Arabidopsis thaliana: one gene and its partners. The protein of the gene in region 1 interacts with the protein of each later gene in a pairwise test. Each region holds a gene or a part of one and is shown on either strand. Other genes may lie near its edges. The genes, in order: AT5G42370, AT5G35460 and FAO3.

The links.
Region 2: the proteins of AT5G42370 (region 1) and AT5G35460 interact in a protein complementation assay, tested with the Arabidopsis thaliana proteins (one large-scale study listed by BioGRID).
Region 3: the proteins of AT5G42370 (region 1) and FAO3 interact in a protein complementation assay, tested with the Arabidopsis thaliana proteins (one large-scale study listed by BioGRID).

Annotation. Positions count from the first base shown.
Region 1 is NC_003076.8:16,937,953-16,944,291, forward strand, and holds AT5G42370 (Calcineurin-like metallo-phosphoesterase superfamily protein), read right to left. Parts: upstream 3,783-6,339; 5' UTR 3,512-3,782; coding exon 3,395-3,511; intron 3,219-3,394; coding exon 2,808-3,218; intron 2,714-2,807; coding exon 2,573-2,713; intron 2,462-2,572; coding exon 2,354-2,461; intron 2,268-2,353; coding exon 1,962-2,267; intron 1,802-1,961; coding exon of another isoform or gene 1,743-1,801; coding exon 1,547-1,742; intron 1,460-1,546; coding exon 1,377-1,459; 3' UTR 1,029-1,376; downstream 1-1,028. Other genes in the region: AT5G42360 (Galactose oxidase/kelch repeat superfamily protein), read right to left, coding at 1-44; CML37 (calmodulin like 37), read right to left, coding at 4,806-5,363.
Region 2 is NC_003076.8:13,669,347-13,675,685, reverse strand, and holds AT5G35460 (uncharacterized protein), read right to left. Parts: upstream 3,198-6,339; 5' UTR 3,089-3,197; coding exon 3,008-3,088; intron 2,908-3,007; coding exon 2,788-2,907; intron 2,702-2,787; coding exon 2,644-2,701; intron 2,552-2,643; coding exon 2,451-2,551; intron 2,372-2,450; coding exon 2,276-2,371; intron 2,188-2,275; coding exon 2,094-2,187; intron 1,861-2,093; coding exon 1,623-1,860; intron 1,498-1,622; coding exon 1,140-1,497; 3' UTR 183-1,139; downstream 1-182. Other genes in the region: AT5G35450 (Disease resistance protein (CC-NBS-LRR class) family), read right to left, coding at 5,001-6,339. UniProt on the Arabidopsis thaliana protein: Glycerophosphocholine acyltransferase (GPCAT) that utilizes acyl-CoA to acylate glycero-3-phosphocholine (GPC), forming lysophosphatidylcholine (LPC).
Region 3 is NC_003074.8:8,379,849-8,386,187, reverse strand, and holds FAO3 (fatty alcohol oxidase 3), read right to left. Parts: upstream 3,517-6,339; 5' UTR 3,329-3,516; coding exon 3,119-3,328; intron 2,858-3,118; exon of another isoform or gene 2,778-2,857; coding exon of another isoform or gene 2,772-2,777; coding exon 2,499-2,771; intron 1,922-2,498; coding exon 164-1,921; 3' UTR 7-163; downstream 1-6. UniProt on the Arabidopsis thaliana protein: Long-chain fatty alcohol oxidase involved in the omega-oxidation pathway of lipid degradation.

The DNA of each region.
Region 1 (6,339 bases):
TGCCGTATAGATTCTTCTCCCAACGGTTTCTCAGAAATCATCATCCGTCATCTAACAAACTTCACAAGTCAGACACCTTGATCATGCTAAGAAGACCATCATTTTCCACAGATAATCAACCTGCAAATGCAAATCAATCAAAGCTTCTTCAAGTTGTATACAATCTCATGAGGCTTGCGATGATCAAAAAGCATTATAGTGAGATCCGCTTATTCTACCAACCACTCGATTAAAGATTAAACATGTAAAAAGCCTAACTCCAAAATTCCAACGAAGTAACTCAAAGAAGCCTACAAAATTAAGTTTCACAATCAAACTACAAGACGCGTCTGCAATTTCACACAATGGACGAAATTCAACAAATTCGAAGAACAATTTCACTCACATTGAGCATATCACCCAGAAGTTTCGAAAAGAGATTCATCCATCGACAGAGTTGCTTTCCCAAATCCAGAGCATCTTCCCCAGAAATCACCGAAGAAGATGAAATAATTGAGACCTCGGAGACCTAAGATTGACGCATCGATTTCCCACTTTTCCCTTTTTTATTTTATTTTAAATAGATCATACTGCAGAAAGCGGAAGCTAAAAAAATAAATAAAAAACAAAAAAAAAATAAATGGAAATTAAGCTGACTCAATTATGGGTCAATTGCAAGAATATCGCTTTTTCAATAAAATAGTAAAAAATTAACCTCATATTACTAATTAACATCAGATTTGGGAAGTATAGTGGATCCTATCGGTAACATACAGCTGTTCAAATCTTAACTGTTAACGGTGATAAAAACTTTTTCGGAATACTGCAAAGTTGTAAAAAAATAGTTGTACGAGAAAGCTATATAGTAATAAAGCTGAGAGTAAAACTTTTTGTAACGCTTTAAAAAAGCTTTTGTAATTAACAGAAATAAAAGCGGTACAAATTGTAATACTTTGTTTTTGTTCACCAATCAAAGCCAATATACTTTGTTTTTGTTCACCAATCAAAGCTAGTATCCGTTTTGAGATCATTACTGAAATTATAAAAACTTTAATTTGTTTAATTTATTACAAATAGACAGTGAAAACCTTCATATGTAATAAACGATAAACCTTGGTTTACAATAATAAAAGAAAAAAGAAACTGGAAACTATAATGCTATTGCATGTAGTCTAGAATTTAACTTGTGTTCACAAACATTCTCTTTCAAAGAAGTTTAATTAATAACAGCTCAAGCTTAGAATTCCCATCACAAGATCAAAATCCATGTGTTCAACAATTTTTAACATTATAAGCTACATCCGAATTGTAATCCCTGAATAATCCAACTAATACAGATTATAAGTCATAAAGACACTTTTGTTGGACCAAAAAAAGTTGATTAATGTCATCAACAATCAATCGACCTTGCATTTATAAACGCATGCTGTTATGGCCAATACAGCTCCAATGATAAGTCCTAATATCGCCATTGCCAAGACTGTCGAACCCAATCAAACAACGTATATATCAGTACTCCGCAACATTCTTTCATCATGACCAACCACAGTGAGGAAGAATGACATACCAGCAATGGTGAAGTAGATGAGAACTGCCAATCGGTATCTGGTCGTTCCTGGTAATTCAATTTCGAGTGTGCAATATCGTTGAGACTTTCCCTTAGTTGTTGTATCTTTTAAAGAATTCGAGCCTCCTGGTTGGAGTTCAGATAATGAAACATTCGTGCCTAGTACAGTGTCTCCGTTAACATCTCTGATCTCGAGCTTTATGGTAACCGGATTTGCATTCCAATCTATCGATATTGCTCCAAAATTTTGTTGTCCTGCACGTAAGTTTAAGATATTGTAACCAATGTAATCATACAAAAGAGTACATCGCTGCTCTGTTAAATCAACTCACAACAGTTACAGTCTACTATATTCCGTCCTAGGTTAGTGACAGTAGAGCTATAGAGCTAAAGTTGGAACTTAAAGTAGACTCACTGTGTCTTGGCTTGTCAATAAATCTTTCCACAGTTTATCAGAAGAAAACGTAAAAGGAATCAAATTGAGAATAATACCGTATGTGCAAGATTTGAATTTGCAGTTATCATTGATAACTCTCATCGTGCTTGGAGTATACCAAAAAAGAAGCCTAACTATGGAACGCAAGGGACGAGGGACAACTTTCTCAACAGATTGTACTAGACCACTGGAGGTGACATCATATAATGGGTACCCAACAGAACAATCATATCTCGTGATTTCTCCAAAATGTACATCTCCACTGATGAATATAACTCCATCTCTCTGTAATGTCAAAGCAACGAAGAATTATGGGGACGAGGAAAGAAGAAAACTGACAGTTGGAAACATTACTGTCAACAATCCCATACCTTAGTATCTGCTATCAGTTTAAAAAGACGTTTCCTTTCCTTTGGAAAACGACCCCATGATTCCATATAAAAGAGAGGTCCAGTGGTAGCAGAAAGATTTGATATCACCTGGACAAGTTAAGAGACAACAGTTCTAGATGGAATAAGACACTCAGGCTTCATCAAGTTTAAGTCCATGGCCAAACTGGAACAGGACACAAAAGTCTAATTTGCAGATACCTGAACAGAGGATCCTATGATAGTGATTTCGCTTCGGGGACCGCTCAATTCATTTTCGAGCCAGTCCCACTGCGTATCACCCAATATGCTCCCGTCACTTCTTAAAGGGTCTCTATGATATCTAGTATCTAAAACTATAACCTGAAGGAGATACACAACTGTGTTAAATCACATATAAGCTCTTCATTCTAAACTTAACAAAACTACCAAAGAAGACAAGAGTTTCTGTTAATACCTTAACTTTCCGATTAGGCGGACCATAAGTATAAGAAGCATAAACACCAGCTTGCTTTCTCCTAGGACTATCAAGAGGCTCATTCAAGAAATCAAGCATAAGTTTTTGGTTAATGACTTTACGATCAAACTCTTTTCCAGCGTCATTCAATCCGTAATCATGATCATCCCATGTACCAATAACCTTAGCTTTTCTCTGAATACGAGAATATCCAGGATTAGCTTTGGCTTTAGCGTATCTTAGTTTCATTTCTTCCTCTGAAGAAGGTACAAACCTCGGTGAATTCCTCCATGGCCCAAAAGTTCTCTCTTTCCCAATGACTGTAAGTGGTCTTCTTATATCTCCGTAGATGTTATCACCCAACCAAATAAACAGTTGCGGATCAAACTTGTTTATCGCATCCCATATCGGCTAAAATGTAACAAAAATACAATGTTTAACATAGTATGCAACACAAGCTTATATCATCTAAGAGAACATCGGCTAATTAAACAAAAACCATAATCAGCTCACTTAAACACCAGCCAAACAGAGCAGTCTTAAAACACTGAATCCAGAGCCAAGTAGGGGTTGTACGATTGATTTACCTGTGGAGCACTTTGATTAGCGCATGATCCGAAGGCTATACGAGTGATAGGAGTCTCTTCTGCAGCAATCACCACCGTAAGGAGTAAAGAAAGGCACCAGAAAGAGATTTGGTTCATGACGATGTGGTGAATCGAAGAGAAAACCCTAGAAGCAACCGTGGAAAGAGGAATCTTCAAGTTTTCATTAAAAGATCCACAAGTTTTGGCTCGCCGCAGATTCGGTTCCGGCGATTTTCAGTTACCGTTGGGATTTTGATAGACAGAGACTGTAACTTTTTCTACTTTCTTCTCGTGGCTTTGATTTTTAATAGCTTTACTTTTTCTTTTCTTCAGATGAAATTTCTATTGCCTGGTTTTATGAATCTTTTTTCTGGGTTCCAAACAAAAAGTGAATTTGTGAAATATCCGTATTATTTATAATTATGGAATGACCATTGAATTTTTTTGTAGATTTGTTTAACATATGCAATGATTTTTTAAATATGAATATTAATTACTTGAGAAACAAATATCTACTACATATTAAAAATGAATTTGTATTTTCCCCTTTGAATAGAAATCAAATTCACTATATGTGGCAAATAGATTAATTCATTTTGATTTGTATTACATAATTTAAATTGTTTATCTACTACTATGTGATGATAAATCCATTTAATATGTGTTCTTCTATGAAAACTTTATCCGACCAAAAAAATAATTTTATGAAAATTTTATTCCAATTTTCTAGATTGTATAAAATTTCCCCGGAACCATGCAAATTCAGAATTTTTTACACTAGAGACTTCTACGGATGGCAAAATTGTGAAGTGTAATATTGTTTTAGACATTAAGAAACAAGTTTCGAAGCGGATCGTTTTAGTTAAAAGGTTTACAAACAATATTATCTCTTATTGAATAGAAAAAGTGAATTGGTGCAATAATTATGTATCTGTTTGTAACTGTAATTATAGAAACATCCAATAATGTGAATCAATATCATTGTTCTAGCATAATAAAACTGTAGATTTACAAACGTCAAACGATATGAAATGTTTTACCGACCTCTACCAAAAAATGAGTGATGTGAGAATATACGCGCGTTATCGGTTGTTTCTCACTCACCTAGTGACATTGGTCGAGCGGCAAATGGTGGTGATGACTGGCCTCTTTTACGACTCGCAGTTTTAGATTTTAGTCCCCTTAATTGGGTATTCTCAGTTATGGGGAGACATATAAACACATTTTGTATGTTTTGACAAATTCAGAATATCAAAACAAGACACGTTTATTATGAAGTGTGTTAAATAATACAAATAGATTAGATGAGACACAAATATACAAAGGAATAAGAATCTCTCACAAAAATAATAATTGAATGAATAAAATTTTGAGGAGGGAAGGAAGATGTCCCAATCCCATATATATCATCTCAACGCATCATCAAAACAAACTCGTCAAAGCTGAGAACTCCATCGTCATTCTGATCAAACCCACGAATCATAACCTTACAAGCATCAACCGTACACGACTCGCCGAGTCGACTCAACGTCCTCCGTAAACTCGCCGCCGTAATAAACTCTTCCCCCTCCATAACATACATCCCAAACGCTTCTTTCAACTCCTTCCTCCTTTCTTCATCACTACCATCTTCCCCTTCCATAAGCTTCAAAAACTCCTCAAAATCTATAAACCCGTCTCCGTCAACGTCTGATGTCTTCACCACTTCCTCCACCTCACGTGACGATAACGCGCCGCCTAAGAGACTAACGCAGCTTTGTAGCTCTTCACCGGAGATTTTCCCGTCTGAGTTTGCATCCATATAGTCAAAAACGGTTCTTAGCTCGTTAACGTTTAACGAGCTGCTTCCGCTACTATTACTGCTCGTTCTTGATTCGTCTTCAAGGTTTCTTGACGATTCTGATCTCTTCGAGGAAACTTTCTTGTATAGTCGTGACAATGATGATTTTTGGTTCTTAGCGAGAGTCATTTCTTGATTTGAATATGAATCTAGAAGATTTGGGAAATGGATTTCTGATGCAAATTCTTTTCAAGAAGTGGTAGATTATATATAGATGAGTATGTGAATGCGTGTAATGGTGGAGAGATTCTTGATTGTTCGACGGTTAAAACACGGGTTTGAATATTTTGGTGTTATTATTTAAAGCTAGAGGCGGTTGCGCGGCGGTGGCCGGGAAGTTTCCTCCGCAATGAGTGTTTGTGGGGAAAGGTCAAGTTGACCACGACTAGGGGTGTTTTCGTAATAATGTGATGGTAAGTTTTTCTCACGTATTGTGTGAAATGTGATGTCATATCGACGACTAGATTAAGAAAAGTAGCAAACCTTCTCTTTGACTTTGATTGAGTATACGATGTGCGGACACGTGGTTTTGGTCTTTTAAATTGTTAAACTGTCATGAAGTTTCATATAACCGTCCAGATATGCTCCACGAAAGTGGTATGACTTCCTCTGTTCCTAGAAACTTGAATTAAAAATAAAATATTTCATGTGATGAAGTTTCATCTAACTGTTACATTCCCGGTCCTGAATTCCCTTTCCATAAGAAAATATATTTCTATATGGACCAAAAGAGAGTTTTATTTTTATCTTTTTGCATCTCAAATGCCAACTTCATGTAAAAGCTTTTACTGATGTATAGTTCGGCTTTCTAAGCTCGACGGTTTAACTCGGCCCAGCATATATTGTTCAAACAATTCAGTTATTCTTTGAAACTTCTCCCCGTAATTATCGAGCTCAAAGATTATTTAACAAAAACATCTCTGTTTCCCCCCATAAAATCTCCTTATAAATACTTAATTTGATCCTAATATCAACAAAATGTTAGACTTTAATCTATATCTTCAATTCTTGATGAAATGAATTTCCATGATGCGGTGCTGGCATATCGTGACCTTACTTAATTCACATTAATTAAACTTTCTGAGCAAATAGTTTAAATTGTTGG
Region 2 (6,339 bases), 3.3 Mb from region 1:
TTATTCCATTCATTTCATGTGATACACGACTACACGTCCTGGATTCCACCAAGACAAGGCTCACGGGTCCAATGCTTAGAAGCGAGCGATGGAAGCTTTTAGATGAGAAGTATTTGATTCTACAAACAACCTAGAACTCGCAAGAACAGATTTGATTCAAGATACAAAGTATTGAAGCAAGAAACAAACTGAATTTCAATTGATCAAAGCGTGAATACAAAGTAGAGAATCAAAGAGCTTAAATTGAAAAGTACAACAATGGTCTAAAACTTAGAAAAGGAAACCGAATAATGCGAAATAAAGAGAGGAGCGTGATGATTCTAGCCGTTAGGCTATAATGGAGGATCTTCGGTGATGGCGTCGAGAGCTAAGTTAAAGTCGCAGCTTCTAAACGTCGTGTAGTCTTTTCATGAGGGTGAATATAATCAGCAGAAAGTCTTCAAGTACATCAGGGGGCTCTTCGGTTTGGTTTGACTCAATTTGACCGTACGGTGCAAATTGGTGGTTCTTGAGTCTTCTTCCAAATCAGCTCGTTACAGGGGCGATTTGCATCGATCAAAATCCTCTTCATGGTCGATTTTTGAGTGAATTCTTTGGCGGAACTCAAGTTATTAAGCTTCATCTCCACTGAACAATAGTCGTATCGGACATGATGGATTTCATAATGCTATCGGCATACTTATTAAGCTTATTCCGCGGCTGGTAACGACATGTTCGAGAACTATGCACTATCAAACACATGAATGTTATGATCTTTAGTGATGGTTGTTTTGTACAGCAGAAACAGAAAACAAAATCCGCGTCTCAAGGAGAACTTATCCCAATCTACTTCGCTGAAATCCGAAGATTTTCCTTTCTCGAAAACGCGTTAAAAATATAGTTAAATCTCTCATAATGCAATTTTAAGGCCAGAATGTCCTAGCGAAACAGGATCAAAACTTTGGCTAAAGAGTAAATAACAAGTTTCTTTAGAAAAAATAAACTACAAGATCATTCACATACATTAAGCTTTTAGAATGATGTATAGCAACAAGAGAAACAAACAGTTATAGAACAAAACATGAGGAACAAAAAAAACACCAATCATGATTCACCTTTGAAAACTTTATTTTACATGTACCTTTTTGTTAGAACCATGATCATGTTTCAGTAGATTTTGGCTCATTCTCAGTCGGATGTGACACAGCTTCATGATGTAGTATCTGCTCCTCTATCGGCTGCATCTCAGCTTTCTTCTTCTTCTCTTTCTGGATCACTTGCCGTGGCATTACCTCTAGTAAAAAGCTCCCTCCGTTCCACACAGCCGCAGAAATCTTTAGGATCTGAAAGATCACATGAAGTCTATAAGATAGGAAGATCGGTACGGTCAATGCCATGGTTGCCACCGTGAAGATGGCCTGGAATAGGATGTACATCCATATACGATTCTGATCCCCTAGCAGACCGCTCAGCTGCCACAACTTATTGTTTGCCTTTTCAGCTTTCTTCGACAGCTCTCTGCACATACCAAAGGATTCCATCAATACAAGTGTTCACTCTATGGTAAGAACACATTACATTATGCTGTGACCTTAGCGATCAATATGAGGAGAACATTAACATACGGCGTAGACAAGAGATACCTGTAAGAAGTCATAACTTCAGGATCTCTAAGGAGTCTCTGCCTACGCAGGACATTGACGATTAGAAAATAGAGCACTTGCCAAAGAGTATAAACGACTAAGGGGACGAGAAACAGCCATGTGAATAGGTAAGCTTTGTCTTCAACATAAGGCCATGAAACCCTACGATCAGTGCCTACAGGGTGCATAGCTGCAAAAGTCGCTGGATTCCACCACCTAATCGTGAAAAACACGAGCCCTGAAACCAAAATTCATTACAATAATAAAGAAACAATGGAGAGAGAGAGCATAAAGCTTAACTATATCTATCATATGCATTACAACAAGGAACCATGTGTTTGAATTAAAAACGGTTGAGAGGGGAACAACAAGCTAAGAATTCATACAACTACTTTAATCAAAGCCGTCAACTTTAGCAATATGAATCAATAACATATCTTCTTCTGTCAACAAGAAGATTATAGAACTCACCAGGTAAGAGATGTATAAGAACACTAACAATCTTATCCGGCGAACTAAAAACCAGACTGCAACGCCAGACAATAATCGCCCACGCCAATGGTCCCTGCAGCACAAGACACAACCAATAAAATAAATCAGCACACACAATGACACAAAAGACTCATATACATACATGTAGTTAAAAAGCATACCTCAGCAAAGGAAAAGCAAACCATGAAAAGCTTTTCATTCTTAGGATACAGAAGAAGATCAACCAAGAAGATTGTATTGGCATAGTAGCAAAAGTCCTATCACATACACAAAAATTGTTTCAATAACAATCAAAACGACTGTTTCTTAATTCCAAATCCTCAAAAGAGACATTACCAGAAGATAATAATGCCATTTCTTAAACCGGTAATATATCCATCGAAGAGGAACAAAGATCACATAGAAGAAACAGTAAACTAAAGGAATGTCTTGAGGTCCTGAAAACGAAAACATCATCAACATCAACAACATTGAATTAAGAACAAAACACAAAAAAAACAAAAAAAAAACACAATTTCTTTGAACTCACTTGCACCAAGTAGGAAACAAAAACCTCCAAATCCAAGCACACCAACGAGATGTGTCACCTTTAAAACATTACAGAACCAAACATTTTCAAACCAAAGTAACTTAAAATCAAAACATGATTGAAGAATCAAGAGAGAAACCTAACCTTATTGATGAATCTCTCATGTTCTTCGGCTTGTTTAGCGATCTTAACGGCTTGTTTCGATAAGATCTCACGCGTTTGTACCGCTTGTTTAGACAACAACTCTCTCGTCTGAACAACTTTCTGTCAAAATCAAAAACAATTGGTCCACAAAGTCAAAATCAACAAAATTGGAACAAAAGAGAAACATCAAAAATGGTGAAAATCGAATCTGATGTTGTACCTTTGATCGATCTTTGAAACGTTGTTTAACAGCATCAAACGAGTCTAGTCCATTGGAGTTTGAATCTTCGTTATTCGCCATTATTGCGGTCAGATTTCTCTGTAGATGCTTTTGTCGTTTTTAAAGGAGAATCCGAAAACACTGAATTTTTCTGTTTTCAGGATATTTTACTTTATGCGGAATTAAAAATTTGGTGAAGGAAAATGACCCAAAAATCATTATTAAACTCTTTATATTCGTTACTATTTTTGTTCAGTTTTATAAAGTGGTGATTAATTACATGTAATCCAATAATTACATTCATAATTAAGTAATAAGGACTTTATGTTTTATCTTGGGAAATCAGATGGAATATTAGTCCTCAAAGTAAATTAATTCCATTAATTGCCTTTGGTGATTATATAATTTAAAGACTTTAATAAGAGAGACTGAGAAGGAGCCACGTGTCGAAAGTTGAAACTTCTAGGACCCTCTTTTGCGCGGGTCGAGAAATTTCCTAGCGTACACGTATTTTTCTACATTATTATAGTTAGAGGAACATTTTGTTTAATTGCATCTTGTATTAAAGAAAAAAAGTAAAAAAAGAATGCTGTGGTATAACTTCTTTACTAGGTGCCGACAAAAAAAAAAAACTTCTTAACTAGGTTTTATGAGTTCAAAACTAGAGTTTCTTGACAAGGTTTCACATGTTCCAGAAGCTTTAGTTTTGTTTTTGGATGAAGTTTGAAAGATTCAAAAGCAGTGTTGTAAAAAGCGGTCTAGACGGTCGTTTATATGCCGCTAAGCGTTCAGTTGACGCCTAAATAATCATCTCGACTGCCTAAAATAACATAAATTTCGTTTTAGTATATTTTTTTTATTTTTAACTAATATTGCTTAAATTTTATAAGTTTTACTTCTACACATGGTTATAAACATTCATATATTGTTGATATAAATTAAAGAAACATTTTTATCTAATTTTTGATTAGGATCCGATTAATATTTTCTAATATATAGTTTTATATGATTTTTATCTATAATATCATATTTAAAATGTTTTATGTCATAAACGGATAAACCACCTAAAATCACTTAAACCCCGACTAAGCGTTCTAAACGCTAGGCGTTGGGTCATCGCCCGTTTATCGCCTAACACTTTTTTGAACATTGTTCAAAAGTAAACAAATATACTAAAGCCATAGAATAAGGGGGTCTGTCTGAAGTTGAAACAAGATTTAAAAACAAAAGTACAAAAACTGGTGTTTTGTTCTGACAATCTTATGTTGTTCCTGAACAAGAAATCGACTAATCCCTCAACGACCCAAGTCTAAGTCACGAGTGCAAATATCACACAGTACTGATAAAAGAAATTAAAATGAAACAAAAAACTTGTACAAAATGAGATTGTTTTGTTTATTGTACATCAGTTTTGCTCGTCTTGGTTCAACCATGACTTCACTATGCGTACACAGTAAAAGAGGTGCAAAACTAACAAAACTTAAGCCTAAATGTGATAAAAAACAAATCTAACCAGATTTGATGTAAATAAAGCTTACAAAAGCTAGCTAACTGTGTTAAATCACAAACGAGAAAACAAAACAAATTCGTATAAACATAAATATCCAATTTTTACAATGAACTACAAAAAAAACAAGGTTCGTTTCTCAATTTTATGAAAGAGTTCTCAAGCACGTTCCATGCATCCACACCGAAAACAAACATCAATAAAAAGCATATAGTTCTGAGCCACAACATAACGATGCACTGAAAGCGAGAGCTCCAACGTAATCAGTAGTACTTCAGAATCTGTATTCCAGAGATTTATCAGTAGATGACTCTTGTGAAGCAGCCTCTATCTCTCCCAATATAAGAGAATTTGACTAGCTTCTTGTTCTTTCCTGCATCTATTTAAAAGATGATCGATTTTAGAACAATGTATAAAAGTTGAGACTGTCCACATGACTTTGAAAAGTGAACATTATTATACCGTTTATTTTTTACCTGCTACTGGTTATTCTCTTTGTTCGTCGTCACAGTTGAAAAATTGAACATCGGGAATGTGTTGGACTTTGTAGTAATCTTCTCCAACCAATTTCTCCTTCCACTCCCTCTTCATTCCTTCAATCTTCAGTTCCTTTAAGGATGTTACATACTTGAGTCCGTCAGGAAGTTCCTCCAACTTTTCGCAACTATGTATAATTAAATCACGAAGACATGGCATCGACCCTTCTTCTACTATCCACTCTTCCAACTCCGATTGTTCAGATATTTGTAGAGCACGTAATTGAGGAAACCCGCCTTTTGAGCACACCATTCTCCTCCCTATGAAAGCCTTGCGTCTTAATTCAACCGACTTCAGATGAAGCAACTTTTCTAGAATTGGCATTGGATCCTCCTCCATGTGGCAAAACAATAAATATATGTGTGCAATGTGGGGAGGTAATTGATGTTGATCAGGAATCTTTGACAAATGTACTCCCAAACTTAACTTCTTTAGATGAATAAAATCCAGAACGAATTCTCCCACATAATCAACCATATAGGTTTTGCGCGAATAAATGAAACTAAGTGTCTCCAGCTTTCGAAATTGACGGAGAGATGAAGATAGATTTTCAAAAGTACACCTTTCACTAAAAGATACACCGAAAAACCTGAGCTTGGTCATACGGAGGAGGTCTGTCACACTACTGTGTTGCGTTGAGAAACACCACAAGTACTCCAGGTTCACTAGATCACCCAATTCCAACTTGGTTTTATCATGCATATCCAGAGGTAGGGAAAGGTACCTCAACTCTAGCATCTCTTTCAAAACATTTGGCACGTGAACCGGCACCCCGATAGCAACATGTAAGTTCAAATAGAGCATAAGCTTTAAATTCCGAATAGTAGAAGGTAGATGAGATACCACAGCTTGGTGTAAGCTCAAGAATCTCAAATGGATGAGCCCTCCAATGCTAGAAGGTAACTTCCCTCCTTCAAATTTTACCGAAGACAGATCCAACACCCTGAGCAATGGTAAGCTTTGGAAGCGTGAAGCTGATTGTATCCAAAGATCTTCCTTGAGTCCCAAAACTAAAAGAGATCTGACCTTTTTTTTGTGTCCTAGTATATGAAAGGCTTTACCACTATGTACGGTGAGTCTTCGAGATCTACTAGGAGATTGAGCAATGATGGTAGAGGTGGAAGTAGGGACTTTGATAATTTGGAGGAAGTTCTCTACTTTGGCTTTAGATATACATACTTCCCTCATCATGTCATGCATTTGACAAAGTTTAAGTCTCCAACTCAAATTGCTCTTTTCAGCAATAACCAAATTTCTCCTCACTAGTTCTTCTAGGTAGTCTTCTCCA
Region 3 (6,339 bases), on another chromosome or scaffold:
TCCAATATTTTATAACACTCTAATTAGATGAATAAATATAACGTTTCCAAAACATGGATTTTATTAGTAGACATGATCAATAGAAGAGTCTTTAACTATGAATTATCATGTTGGTTACACATAAATTTGATTAGGATGAATAGAAAGTATACGTTATTTTAGTTCAATGAGATAAACCAGTGGTCATGGACTTAGCGATTCTTGTGGAGATACAATAAGCCGTAGACATGACTGTGATCATAGGGTTAACACCAACAGCACTAGGCAACGCACTTGCATCGCACACAAACAACTTCTCTGCTTCCCAACTCTCTCCATTCAAATCTATTGCACCTTCTTTTTCATTTTCTCCAATTCTACAGCTTCCCATCTGATGAGCTGAGCTATAAACGTTCCATTTCTCAGTCATTCCCTTTGCTCCTTCCTCTGTACTCACCGAGTCTAAAAACTCTTGGATCGAATTCTCATTGACACCTTTGCATATTAGTCTCTGCCCGTCGCTTCTGTGAGTTCCCACTTCCTCTGCTCCAGCTGCTATTAGTATCCTTAGCGACTCTCTAAGCCCAGCTTTGAGATTATCTCTGTCGGTTTTGTCCACGGTGTAGTTTATTCTGCCTTCGGTTTTAACTTCTCCTGACCCGCGGTCTCTAACTATGGTTATGAGACTCGCGGTTCTTGAGTATCTAGCCATTCTTTTCTTCATGTCAAGCCCAGAGGTCCAAGGAGTTAAAACGGAGAACGAACCTGGTCCTAGTTGCGGTGTCTCTATGATTGCTCTGACTTCAGAATCTTCTGATAACACTTTGCTCACTGATGTTATGATCCCGCCTTCATATGAATTTCCCTTGAAACTGATGTTAGAAGATTCCTTGTCCGGGAAGTAACCCCACGCCATTAAAACAGGGTGTAAGTGAAGGTTTTTACCGATGTTTCGGTTTCTCAACCCGCTAGATATCATCAACGGAGGTGTTAAAAGAGCACCCCCTGCTGAAACCGTTACTTTAGCTTCAATCTTTAACATCTTTGCTATGTTTCCGTTTAAAGATTTAGCCATCACTCCCAAACATTTCATTTGCTTGCCTCCTTTGTTACTACCGTTCTTTTCGAGTATGAATCTCTCCGCTTTACATCCAGTAAGAATCACGGCACCGTGCCCCACCGCATCGACAAGCCAAGTCCGGTCACTTCCTTTCTTGTCTCCTTGTCTACATCCATACCCGCAAGATCCACAGTAATGACTCTCCGAGGAGTTTCTTGGCACGTTTTCAACATTGAACCCGAGATTTTCGCAACCTTTTCTCAGAATCTGATTCTGAAAACTCTCCAGTTCACATTTCTCCGTGACACCCATCCTCTTCCACACAACTTCCATAGCCGTTAGATATTCTTTAGTACCGAAAAGAGGTATATTTTGATCCTCTGACCATTCTTGAAGAACCGACTTCGGGGTTTTGATACACGCAGACCAGTTCACAGCAGATCCACCACCTACAGTTGCTCCAGCCAACACCATAAAACTCCCATCAACACTCGGGAGAATCCCTCCATTCTCGTAGAGTTTATCCAAGCCAGGACCTTCGAAAGGACGATGTTCAGAAGGCGTAAAGTAGCTTCCTTTTTCAAGAACAACCACTTTTAAACCAGATTTCGCTAGAACAGAAGCTGCTACGCCTCCTCCTGAACCAGACCCGACGACCACAACATCACATTTTATTCTGATCGCATCATGCTCCGTGTCAAGAACCGCTTCTAGGCCTTTATGAGCAAGTGATTCAAGAAGAGTCTGCTCTGTTTCTTCCATCGTCTCCACTATCCCTTTCTCAAGTGGTCTTTCGTTATGAGTTTCAGAAGGTTTGTTCTCATCGGGGTTAACACGATACCCTATGGCTTCCCATGCCGGGTTTTCGCCATTTGGATTCACCTACACAAAAGAAACGACATATCCATAAATTCTTGAACATTTTCTATAAGTAGCTCTGTTTTTACGACAGAGTTAACATATATAATATAGGCTCTGAATCCGGATTTTGGTTTAGTTCACGATTCTCAAAATTTTGGATCGGTTTATTGTAACCAAATCAGAAAATGATCTAGTTAAATCGCTTGGTACTCATTTAAGATCAAAGTTTTTAATAATGGGATCAAATTGTTTATGTATAGTAAAATAGTAAATTTTAGTTATAAACAAATCTCATATGAATACGTTACGTACGGTTTCAGGTTTAAGATTTTCTAATTTTAGTATATATGAATTTGGATGATTTTTTCCTTAGAGATCATCATTAATTTAGAAAACAATAAAACTGATACGTTTTCTAGTTTTTTTTGGCTCTATTTGTAATCAATTTTTGGATTATATAGAAAGTAAATGAATTTAAACCATGCGATTCTGTTTTCGATTATTTGGATTTGTACTAGACTGTTTTATCCGGACAGAACAACATAATCTATGTGGTTGAGATAAGGTTTGGAGAAAACAGAGAGAATTTGAGACATACCCGGGAGAAGAAACAGAAGAGGAATGCAACTTTGATGTAGACAAAAGCAGCTCTAATTGGAGTCAGAATCCAATTCTTGAATTGTTTCTGAAGTACTCTTTCTCTCTTCTCCAACGAGAGCTCACTAAATTTCTCGACAAAAGGCCATCTTGAGACCAAACACTCGGTTCCACAAATGAGAAGCGTCCCAAGCCGAGTAGCAAGCAAGAACAATATAAGCCTAGTAGCAATATAAGCTTCTATTGTCCCTCGTTTCGTGACCAGCTCAATGCTCTGCATCCATTAACAAATCTTTCACTTTTTACTCAAAACCTTAAGGTCTTTTTAATAACCGCAATTAATTTTAGACCGAAACCTAGACTAATAATATTCACGTTAAAAAAACAAAAAGAGCTAGATATTTTTGTCATTTAAAAGGTCTATAGAAGTCAAAAGAGAACCACAAGGATTTTATTGGAACTCGATCAATACGAATCCTTTTAACTAATCGAACAAATCAAAACAAATCTTCAAATATCACACGTTCTTGATTTGTGTTTTTTTGTTTGAAAGTGTCAAAACTTTAGCATTTTGTTAAAAAAACAGATCATTTGATGAATATAAAGAAAAAGTGTGTGAACCTGGCGAAGGACAGGAGTTTTAGACCCAGAAGTTGAGTAAAATGACCGGAGAGCCTCTTTGTTCCGATGGTTATCACCTTCACCGGAAAGCTCTTCCGGCGGTGGCTGCACTGAAGGCAAGACAGCTTCACAAAAGCTAGCTAAAGATTCCATCTCTGCCACCGTGATGTCCGGGAGACCAAATTTTCCGGCGACTTTGTACTTATCCATCACACAGTTTGCTTTGATATGATTAAAAAACAAAACTGGGAAAGTTCTTAAGATTTCGAAGCACAAACTCTGTTAGTATATATATAGACACAACGTTACAGCTGTCGCGTTACATAAAAATAGACATATAAAACAAAATTGCTAAGAGAACCCCAAAACTTGTTTTTAACTCTTTTTGATGATTACGTATTTTTATCTGTCGTTTTAGATAGTAGATGTATGTATTTTTCTAGTTTATACGACAGTTTGTCGTATTACTAATTATGATGATAATTGACAATTTAAATGTATATGAAAAAGTTGGACCAAAATTGATTTTTCTTTTTTGTTGTTGTAAATGGTGCATATCTACCCACGTTGTTGTTTCTTTCAAATTCTACTTATATGCCGAATTTTATTGGTATCATCTGATGTAGATTGAATATATTTCTTACGTACAATTTAAGATGATGGTTATTTTTTAGGGTCCTCATGTTTAGAGTCTCTAAGATAGTGGTTAAAAACACTTAAAATTGCAAAATATAGGGACTAGTATGTAGTTAGCAGAGACTATTATGGGGAAAGTCTTTTTCAGTTTTCTAGATTACAACATGTGAAAACTACAGGCAACGAAAATCGATTAGTAATTAATAATTAAGTAATGATTGAAGAAACATAACAAAGGCACAAAAGAAGAAAATAGTCAGAAAAGTTCTCATAGTTATGGAAAACAATCACGTGTGATACTCTTTCTTTTTTTTTTTTTTTTTTTGTTTGACAACTGCGATGCTCTAAACACCACAATTTGAAACTTGTGATAGCCAACTTGTGAGTTAATGCACAAGCCCCGTAACGTTTTACACAATCTAGCTTTTCTTATTCGATATACGTGTACTTGATATCTTCTCACAAAAATTTGTAAATATTATATGAAGAAATTAATACACATTAATATGTATATACAACATCTGATCGGTTATCACGTATATATCAAAACATATTATATCTTTGGAGAGGTCATGCTTGGACCATTAGACAAAGTCTTATTTGGTTTACGAGTTTTTTAGTTTGTTAATTATAATGTAAAGTATATGAAGTTGTAAAATTTACTCTAAAACAAATCTAGGGACTCGTCAATTAGGTGAAATTCATGGGATCGTCAATTAATATTTACTCAAATTAGTCATAAATGTTGCTTAGCTGCAACGAAATTGATTACAAACTTTTTTGCAGTGATTTTTTAGGTGCTTCACTGGTTAGCAACCATGTGCTAGTGATCATCCATAAAAATTATCTCATTTACTCATCCAGTATTTCATGAATTCTCAAAAATACTAATTATTGATTGTTGACCAAAAAAAACCCATATATTGATTACAAACCAAACGATCCCAGGCCGTTTTGAATTTGCTAGAAAAATAAATACATATATACACTATATGCTTAAAATTTCAATGGACAATGCGTTGCCTCATTTAAGATTCGAAGAAACTAGCATTATCAAGGAAAATGTTGAGTGACTTCCAGATAATTTGTTAAATTTAGTTGACATCGATTAGACAAAGAATCGATAAATTACGTATTGATTCAAATTTCATATTATAGACATCCACAAAAAAATAATATAATTAGTCTGGCCCTACTTTTGATTTTGCAACAAATTTGTGGGAATCAGTGGAGCCAATCAGTTGCCTCCACGTCATCGTTTGCACGCCATGTTAGCCAAAATGTGGTCATGCATCCCATCTAACAAGTCAGGTGTAATCGAAGCATCCGAGATCTCGTCAGACAAAAAAAACTCTAAAACGATAACTAGTTTTTAGTGTAATCTAAGTTAAAGTATGATTATTTACTAATATATATTCTGATCCCAAAGGTTTGGTTAGAAAATTTCCTCAGCATGGGTTATCGGTACATATATAATTGCTTGGTGATAATGATATGTTTCAGCTTAACCAAATAAAAAATGCAAAATAATAAATAAATTTTACCGTGGTGGATGAGCTAATTAGAGTGTACGAGGTACATATATAGTGCGTTGTTTTGCAAAAATAATAATATTAAAAAGTTCACAAAATATTTTTTAGTCATAAGTTACTTTTTCACACTTATTTATAACTTAGAAATAAAAAATCACTTCTCTGAACACTTATTTATAACTTCTCTGAACACATGTTATGTTCAAATGTTAAGACTATTTTCCGTTAGGTGATATCGTAATTTTATGACTACAATATTTCAAGTTATATGGACCATAGCATTCCATTTCTATGATTGAGGTACACTTTGTGATTATTATTTATCGACCAAATATTTTCAATGGCTCCAAAGCTTAATTATATATTAGTTGTAGACAAAAACAAATCTCTAAAACACTGTCAAAATGACGTGTTTGCGTAAAATCCATAAAACATTTTCAAGCTAGCCGAGGCATCAGCAACAAAATCTTCTTAAAACCTTCATGGCTTGTAAAATATTCAATCGGGTACAGTGGGTTGTTTAGTTGAATTATTATGTGTCACTGTGTAAGTATAGCTTCTAAAAATAAAATGTCATTATAGCTTATTGTTTAAAAGTCAAAAAAAATGTTGTTGGACGCAATTAAAGATGTCACAAGTTGTCATTAATTAATTAAGCGATAATGTAAAGTAAAATAGCGATAACAGGTTATATACGGCATTTTCAAGATAACCCCACTTTGTAGACCTTTTCCGTTCATGTTACTTTCTGCCCAGTTAAAATCTTGTGTTAAAAAGTCATAATACCATATTTCCTTTAGTTAAGTAAACTATACGCGGATACTAAAAACTACCGATATTTTATGCGTAAGTTATCTTTATTATCATGTTTTTGTTATATAAACAATTTTGCTACAAAAAGTTCATTTCGCCTTTATTAGATTCACGAGAGACGGCATTTCTTTCGTTTTTTTTATGCTTTTGATGGAGAATTTCAATGATGGCTATAATTATATATCGTTGAAGATTTCTTATACACTTGTCTCCATAAATCTGCAAATCTGATAATAAATT